Linked DNA regions of Sus scrofa. The protein of the gene in region 1 binds, or shares a complex with, the protein of each later gene. Links are inferred from orthologs where the notes say so. Each region holds a gene or a part of one and is shown in the gene's direction. Other genes may lie near its edges.

Region 1 (3,815 bases):
TTAGGTGTGGAGCCATCAAATAACAGGGGAGAGAGATGATACTGATCTCGGAGATACAGCAGTGAGTAATGGCTTGAAGCAAGCTCTTAATTCTCTGCTCAGGAATTGAACCTGGGCAGCCTGGATGAAAAACCAGGAATCCTAGCCACTGGACCTGCTAGAGGCTAAAAGTAGAATTGCCCTGATTCTTGTCCCCTGTTGAAAGCAAGAATGTTTCAAGGTGGCAAAGACTGTGAAGATAGGTATAAAGTTTATTGTTAGAGTCACAATACATGTGGGAGAGCACACAGTTAAGTAGTTTTTTAAGTCAGAAGCAAAGAAGTAATACACACCCTAAAGAGGAGTGTAGGTGCAGGCATCCCCCTGAGTGAGGAACCCGAAACTGCACTCCTCTTTCTGGTGATTTAACTCACATAGGACAGTTCTCCCAGGTCTTTGTTTACCTTTGGCCAGTTTTCTTCTTTCATTTCTCACACCTGAAAGGACACAGGACCCTCCCCAATATGCATGTGCATCTTTTGACAAAGATGGATTCCAGAGCAAAGGGTGCCTGGACAGTATGGGGACTTATTATGGCCTGGCGCCCCCTCCCTTTCTGACCCCTAGGAGTCTTATTGCACATGTGTAATTGGAGCGCTCTCCTTGACCCCAGGAGTGATTGAGGTGGTCATCTTATCTTTCTACTCCAGCAGAGCTCAGCTCCTGCAATTAACTTTTTCCTTGAAGTGTCAGAGGGGAAACAAGGCCCAATTTACTTGGCCTAACAAATCCCAGCTGTCCTCAGCCCAGGGGTTCATCTACCTCCTACCTCAAAACTCCTGCTAAACATGACCTTGGTAGCTCCACAATGCTCTCACCCACTACTGGGACTGTCATAGTGCTTGAAGGAAATTGCTACAGTTGTGATGGGAATTGAGTAGAATATAATGCATCCCAATATTAGAGAGTCAATCAGATGTCCCTGGTCCTCCTGGAGCTTTCTGCTGTTAAAGAGTTCAAGTCCCAGTTTTTTCCATTTGTAAGATGAGCTCTCCAAAAGAACTTTGAGAAAAGTTTACACATGTTGTTGAAACCACAAGTGTCTTGAAATCTTAGGGATCCTGCCTGTTTTTTGTTGTTCTTTATGTCCTTTGTGTTTATTTCCATATGCTGTGCAGATTATGCTACAAAGCTCTTTTGTGGTAAGAAGAATTGAGAGAGGTTGAAACCAAAGCTATCTCTAAAGCCACAAGTCCCTTTGGAAATAGGGAAAGAGATCTACCTATATTTTAAAGAAATTAGCATGTTATCTAGTTATTAGCTATAATGCTAATTCATAGAATCAAAGATTTTTAGGTGTATGAGGGAAGTGAGTATTAGAAGTCAGCTAGTCAGTGTTTCTGTTAAGTGCACGTCTCAGAACACTGGCCTCTAGGAAAAAAGCATTTCCCAGTCAGACAGGTTTGGGAACCCTGCAGTCTATCTTCCTCCCTTGAATTATTTATAATGAGAAGTCAACACTCAGCTGGCCTTTCCCAAACTTATTTAACCATGGAGTCTTTTTTTTTTTTTTTTCCCTTCTGTGTAATAACTGTTAACATCCTGCTGTAGGAAATGAGTCCAGTCTCATAACGGAGGTCCAGAAAATTAAGCCACTCAACCCAAGGCAACAGAGCCAGTAATGACACAACTAGAACATACTGCTGCTGGCTTCCCTCAGAACGGCTGCATATTTGTATTGACAGCAATGCCTTCAAAACATTCCAAGATTATTTTTTCCCTTGAAATTATTTAAAGAATCGTTTCTAGAGTATCTAGGATCCTAGTTTAATTTACAGAGATTTATCTCTTAGCAGATGGAAAATGTGTCAATTGCCTCATTCAATTTAGTAGTACTCTCTATTCAAATGCATCAGAAACAGAACCTGAATAGTAAGCTGTGGGGGAACTAAAGGCTCAGGAGGCTCTCAGTTAGACGGGTGGGGAAGGGAGAAAGCCAGTAAGCAATTAAACAAGGAGCTATGTAATTACAAATTACGACACGTGCTACGAAGATGAACTACGTGCCGTCAGAATGAGCTTACATTTGCAATCACTTTTTAATTGACCCTGATTCAGAAGGGATCAATAACAGCTAGTTTTATGGTTATCTTGGTACTCAGCTTCTGACTACAGTCTGAACCACGTTAACAACCCCTCCCTTCTTGTTTTTCCAGCCGGGCAGAACAAAATGAGAGCGCTTTGAGCCGGCCCAACCTCTCTCCCAGCCGTCCCCGACGCCCACCATGAACCACTTGGAGGGGGCCGCGGAGGCGGAGGTGGAAGTGACCGACGAGGCGCCAGGCGGGGAGGTGAACGAGCTGGTAGAGGCCGACCTGGAGCACCCCGAAGTGGAGGAGGAGCAGCAGCAGCAGCAGCACTATGGGGGCCGACCCTCGCGCGGGCGCGCTGTCGAAGACCTCCGAGCATCGCCCGGGCAGCAGCAGGAAGAGGAGGAGCGCGGGGAGTGCCTGGCGCGCTCTGCCAGCACCGAGAGCGGCTTTCACAACCACACGGACACCGCTGAGGGCGACGTTATTGCCGCGGCCCGCGACGGCTACGACGCCGAGCGCGCGCAGGACCCAGAGGACGAGAGCGCATACGCCGTGCAGTACCGACCCGAGGCCGAGGAGTACACGGAGCAGGCGGAGGCCGAGCATGCGGAGGCCACGCACCGCCGCACACTGCCCAACCACCTGCACTTCCACTCGTTGGAACACGAGGAGGCCATGAACGCTGCATACTCGGGTTACGTCTACACGCACCGGCTCTTCCACCGCGGCGAGGACGAGCCCTACGCTGAACCCTACGCCGACTACGGGGGCCTCCAGGAGCACGTGTACGAGGAGATCGGAGACGCGCCCGAGCTGGACGGGCACGACGGCCTGAGGCTGTACGAGCAGGAGCGCGACGAAGCAGCTGCGTATCGCCAGGAGGCCCTGGGCGCGCGGCTACACCACTATGATGAACGCTCCGACGGCGAGTCTGATAGCCCGGAGAAGGAGGCCGAGTTCGCGCCCTACCCGCGCATGGACAGCTACGAGCAGGAGGAGGACATCGACCAGATCGTGGCTGAGGTCAAGCAGAGCATGAGCTCACAGAGCCTCGACAAAGCAGCCGAGGACATGCCCGAGGCCGAGCAGGACTTGGAGCGTGCTCCTACCCCAGGCGGGGGCCGCCCCGACAGCCCTGGCCTGCAGACCCTGGCGGGGCAACAGCGGCTGGCGGGTACCGTGGGCAGCGAGGCGGTGCAGCGGTACAGCAAGGAGAAAAGGGATGCCATCTCGCTGGCCATCAAGGACATCAAGGAGGCCATCGAGGAAGTGAAAACCAGGACCATCCGTTCGCCTTACACCCCCGACGAGCCCAAAGAGCCCATCTGGGTCATGCGCCAGGATATTAGTCCCACCAAGGATTGTGACGACCAGAGGCCGGTGGATGGAGATGTAAGTGTGTGCGGATTCGGACTTGCCCAGCTCTAGGCGCGGTCTTCTGGGAGACGGGCGCTGGGTGGTCATTGGGAGATGACTTGATGAGATAAATGATCAGTGGGGACGCTAAAAATCGTGTCCACCGTAAGCTTCAGAGACAGCTTGCACTAAAGCCCCAGTGAGTGAAATACAGGTGGGAGGGGATGAAGTGAGGAGAGGTTGCATAAATCAGTGTTTCTCAAACAGCCCTTGGAGCGCTTGTTCAGAAATCGATTTCCACTACTCCCTGTTCCCCAGTTTCTCACTTAGAAGGGGCGGGGCAGAGCCTAAAAATTTGCATTGCTAGCATCCAGTAAACAATAAGTG
Region 2 (4,394 bases), on another chromosome or scaffold:
AGAAGTTTGAAAAATCAAAATGAACAGAGCATCAGTGTTGACAGTCAGGTGGCGGAATATATGCGTAAGCAGAGTCTTCAAAGGAGAGGAGGTGGAGAATTGAGGAAGAAATATTTGAAGAGTCAAGGGCAATGTCTGCATTTGTCTTTCTCCACATGATATTCTCAATGTCTAGCAAGGTGCCCGATATAGACCTTAAATATTTAGCAAAAGTTCTTGAACATCTGTAGCAACAAATGACAGCAATGAATAAGAGATGAAAAGTACATGAATGCTTTTGCAGGACATAAGGGCCATTAAGGACCAAAGAAGGGAAACAGAATGGCCAAAAGGGAAACTTAGTGGAAGTGGCATATCTTCCACAGACCTGGAGGATGGGTTCAGTTTGAGGATGTACAGAGTATGGAAAACTAGAAGCGATGAAGAAAGGCATTCTACATAAGTACAAAATAAATGAAGACTTGGAAGCAAGAAGAAGCATGGTTTTAAACATTCCACCTCTACTGGAGTGGTTATTCCATTTGAGGGATGAGAAATGAGGTTAGATGAGTTAGGATCAGAGTTTGCAAGGCTTTAGGAATAGGAATTGGGGGGGGGGAAGCCATTGAAAGTTTTTGAGCAGTAACCTTTGATGATGGAATCAGGGTTCAAGGGGGAAAAAAGAGTCTAATGGTGGCATTCATGATGGAAGAGAAGAAAATACTATAGTTGAATGGAAAGGATGTATGGGGCAACAGAGAGGTCGTTAAAACCATCTTGTCATGAAGTGTTAAACACTCCTTTGTAAGAGCACCCCACAGATTAGCAGTGCAGACTGGAGCTTGAATAAATACTAGTGGAATTGAAATGCTGGGCAAATTAATATTTCACACTCAAATTAAGGCCTAAAATTGGTTTTGGCTCATGAAATTTTCAAAAGTAGTCCTAAGAATCTAGAGTGTTTTAAGAATATTATTTGCTTCCTAATATTTCATTTATATAAGGTTTTTGATGAGCTTTTAAAAATTCCTACTTTGAGATGCACCCAAGTGTCTTGTTTTCTCACTCACCCAAGAGTGTTTCATGACTTTTGCACTTTCCATCCTTTTTTTTTTTGCCTTTTGTGTTTTTTAGGGCCGCACCCAGGGCATATGGAGGTTCCCAGGTTAGGGGTCTAATTGGAGCTGTAGTTGCAGGCCTACACCACAGCCACAGCAATGGCAGATCTGAGCCCACAGCTCACAGCAATGCCGGATTCTTAACCCACCGAGCAAGGCCAGGGATGGAACCCGAAATCTCATGGTTCCTAGTAGGATTCGTTTCCGCTGCGCCAGGACGGGGAACTCCGTACTTTCTATCCTTATTCTCAGATTTCTAGGGAAGATCTATGCCTTGGATTGGTAAATTAATTAAAGCAATGGAGCCACAAATGCGGAATTTATAATATCTCACTTACACACGTCACCGAATCTCACTTAGAATCTAAAGAAATCGGAGATCGGACTCTTTGTCCGACAGAGGGGAAGACTGAGGCCGAAAGAAGGTAAGTGAGCAGTCCAGGCTCACAGAACCAAGGGGTAACAAGAATCCAGACTCCACCACATGGAGCCAAGGGTTGCAAACGGGTGGGATAGCTAAGAATGGGGAAAGAATTGGGAGGGAGACTCTTTTCAACTATAGGAGGCCGGGGGATTGGAGAACCTGACAAGCACTGAAGATGCAGCCCAAGGCCACCCTCTGGAGCCCGCTCAGCCCACGGGAAGATCCCCGCGAGCCCCAGCTCGGTTGCTCCCGCTCTCGCGATACTGGCTCGGTTGCTCCCGGCTCCTGCTAAGCCCCGCCCCTCCACCGCAGCCCCTCTATCGTCATTTCCTGTGGGTCTGCAGGCAAAGGGAGAAGATGGCGGCGTTGGGGGAACCTGTGCGACTGGAGAGGGGTGAGTGGGGACTAGGCCGGGACTGTCGTGGACGGAGAAGGTGGGGGAGTGCCTTTCCGCCGTGGGGGTGGGGGGCAGCTAAGCTCTGAGATCTGGAATCAGTCTTTTCTTCGCGCTGGCGCCGGTGGCCGCCGACGTTGCTGCGCCTGGCCCCAGGGGGAGAGCTTGCTGCTCTTGACTGATACCCAGACCCACCTCTATTCACACGGACAGTCGCGAAGCACAGTACTGTTCGACCCCACCTGTCTGCGTTCGCAAACACACTCTGCACACGCGTTCTCTGGATGGGTATGGCAGACGCAGCGTTCGGAGACGTGTCTAGCTAAGCAAACATCACACGCCCAGTTGTACAGACTACACTCACTGCCCGTATTGACCTGTGCACAATCCAGTGTCCCCGCCTTACTCACACAGCCCGGCTTCACAGTACATTGCCACAGAACCCACCTTATTTATGCACGAACGCTGTCGTTACTTCGACCACAACCCCACTTGTATTTCTATCGGGTTGTGTTCTGGCTGTGGTCCCCCTCCCCGTACGGAGAAGGTGCTTTAAAAACAATCTTACTAATGTCCAGGGAAGAAGGTTACATAACTAGTTGGAATTGTGGTAGATTGTAAAATACTTAATAGTGTAGTTTTTTTCCTTCTTTACAAATCCTACAATTGCTAACTGGCTGGGTGCTTGCTTTGTAGAGCAGGCTGTCAAGGAAAATAAAACCTTTCTGCTGAATGACTGGAAATCGAAAAGCCAGTTAAAGTACATAGCTATGAGCCTAGAAGAGGCCTGTTGAAGATTTTCAGCATTCCCCTCTTTCCTCCCAAGTCCTTTTTTTCAAATAACTTCATGCATACTTTTGACATGCTAGTATTAGGAGTCGTAAGAGTCAAAAAGTATGAAGTACACATATGGAGTACTAGTGATAAAGTATAGGATGGAGATTGAAAATATCTTGCAGATATTAACTTTTGCATTTACTGTCTGAGTGTTAAGTAACTTCCGCTCTAAGGAGAGAATGCATTTTTAGAATTATTGTAGTTGGTGAACTCTTTCCTTGTGCCTTTACAGAAACAAATGCACACTAGACATTGTTTATTCCTTATGGTGTTCACTACTTGTAAGTTACTTTACAAGTGATGTTGTTTTCCTCCAGCCTACCAGACCTTTAATTAAAGTATCATCTTTGACAGAGGAGTAGCTACTCTGGGAAGACTTGCTAAGTTAGGGGGAAACTATGACATCTTCTTCCTGAGCACAATGGCACTGTGCTTTGTAGATGGGAACAAATCTGTTTGGTGTTAGCAGGAGTAGGTGTTTTTCTTTGAAAGCCAGTTGTAGGCTTCTAACATGTTGGCGGTCTTTTGTGTTTTTAAGTGCAGTACAAAATGTGAAACTTCACCTCTGGCATTTAGTTGTGGTAGTCATGGCTTTGTTTTTTTTTTCTGTTTCAGAGTTCATTTCGGTTCCAAATGCTCAGCACCTTAGTAGGATGAATTACTAGTGGATACCATTTAGCAGGATAAGAAAGTCAGATTACATCAACTGTAAATCTTATTTAGCATTCTGTTTAACAGACTCTATTTAGAAACTCTTCCAGCAGTTCTGCATTATAAAATTAGTGCAAATGTTCAAGATCCTAAATGCCTTCAAAATCATCAAACAAGGTTCAGTGGAACACATTTGAGCACATGTTGGGTACATTTAGGTTCAGTAAAGAGTATTTTACTTTTAAAATTTTTCTTAATTGAAGAGTTTAATATACCTTACATATTCTAGCTTTATAAATCAAAATATTTGATGAACCAACACTTGCCTGTTCACCAGCCGTTCTGGTGGTGGGAGACAGAAAGCTGAAAGTCTGTTGACGTTGTATTAACATCAGTTTAAGCTTTTATTACCTGGAATTGAAGAATCTACTTCTTTCTTCACTACATTTATTCCTAGTTTGCCAGTTACAAACACAAATAAGATTATACTAATTCTATGAGGTTCCAATCCTTTAAGCGTAATATAAAATTCAGAACTTCTTCCATTTAAGACAGAAGGAGGCAAGGAATTTAGAATAATAGATACTCTAGTCCCCTGTGGGGCTAAAAATCAAAGTAGAGGTGGTGTTGAAACATGGCTGAATTATGTAAAATTTCTTAATTCATAGAACACTTATGCTCACACTTCCTAGTGACAGTTGCCTAACATGCTTAATATATTTATAGTGTAAATGTGTACATTATGATTCTTTGGTGCTGATGTAATAGAACATTTATGCTTGCTAAATGGCAGGCTCTTACCATGTATTTTTGTTCTGGTCCACAATTCTTATAAAAAGGGTAATGTTATTTCTGTTTTGCAGTGGAAAAACAGACATGGAGAGGTATTTGCCCAAGATCACACAGCTGTTACTGAGACTAGATTCAGGAAACTGTTTTTAATTTTGTATTTTATTAACATGTATTTAACTGAGCTTGTCTTAATTAAAAT

What was found.
Region 2: APBA1 (region 1) and LIN7C share a complex: the UniProt entries of both Homo sapiens proteins name them as parts of the brain-specific heterotrimeric complex. The link is inferred for Sus scrofa from reciprocal best matches to the Homo sapiens genes APBA1 and LIN7C.

The regions. Positions count from the first base shown.
Region 1 is NC_010443.5:222,836,439-222,840,253, reverse strand, and holds part of APBA1 (amyloid beta A4 precursor protein-binding family A member 1), read left to right. Parts: exon of another isoform or gene 1-2,195; 5' UTR 2,196-2,264; coding exon 2,265-3,464; intron 3,465-3,815. UniProt on the Homo sapiens protein: Putative function in synaptic vesicle exocytosis by binding to Munc18-1, an essential component of the synaptic vesicle exocytotic machinery. May modulate processing of the amyloid-beta precursor protein (APP) and hence formation of APP-beta.
Region 2 is NC_010444.4:32,843,345-32,847,738, forward strand, and holds the start of LIN7C (protein lin-7 homolog C), read left to right. Parts: upstream 1-1,583; 5' UTR 1,584-1,878; coding exon 1,879-1,915; intron 1,916-4,394. UniProt on the Homo sapiens protein: Plays a role in establishing and maintaining the asymmetric distribution of channels and receptors at the plasma membrane of polarized cells.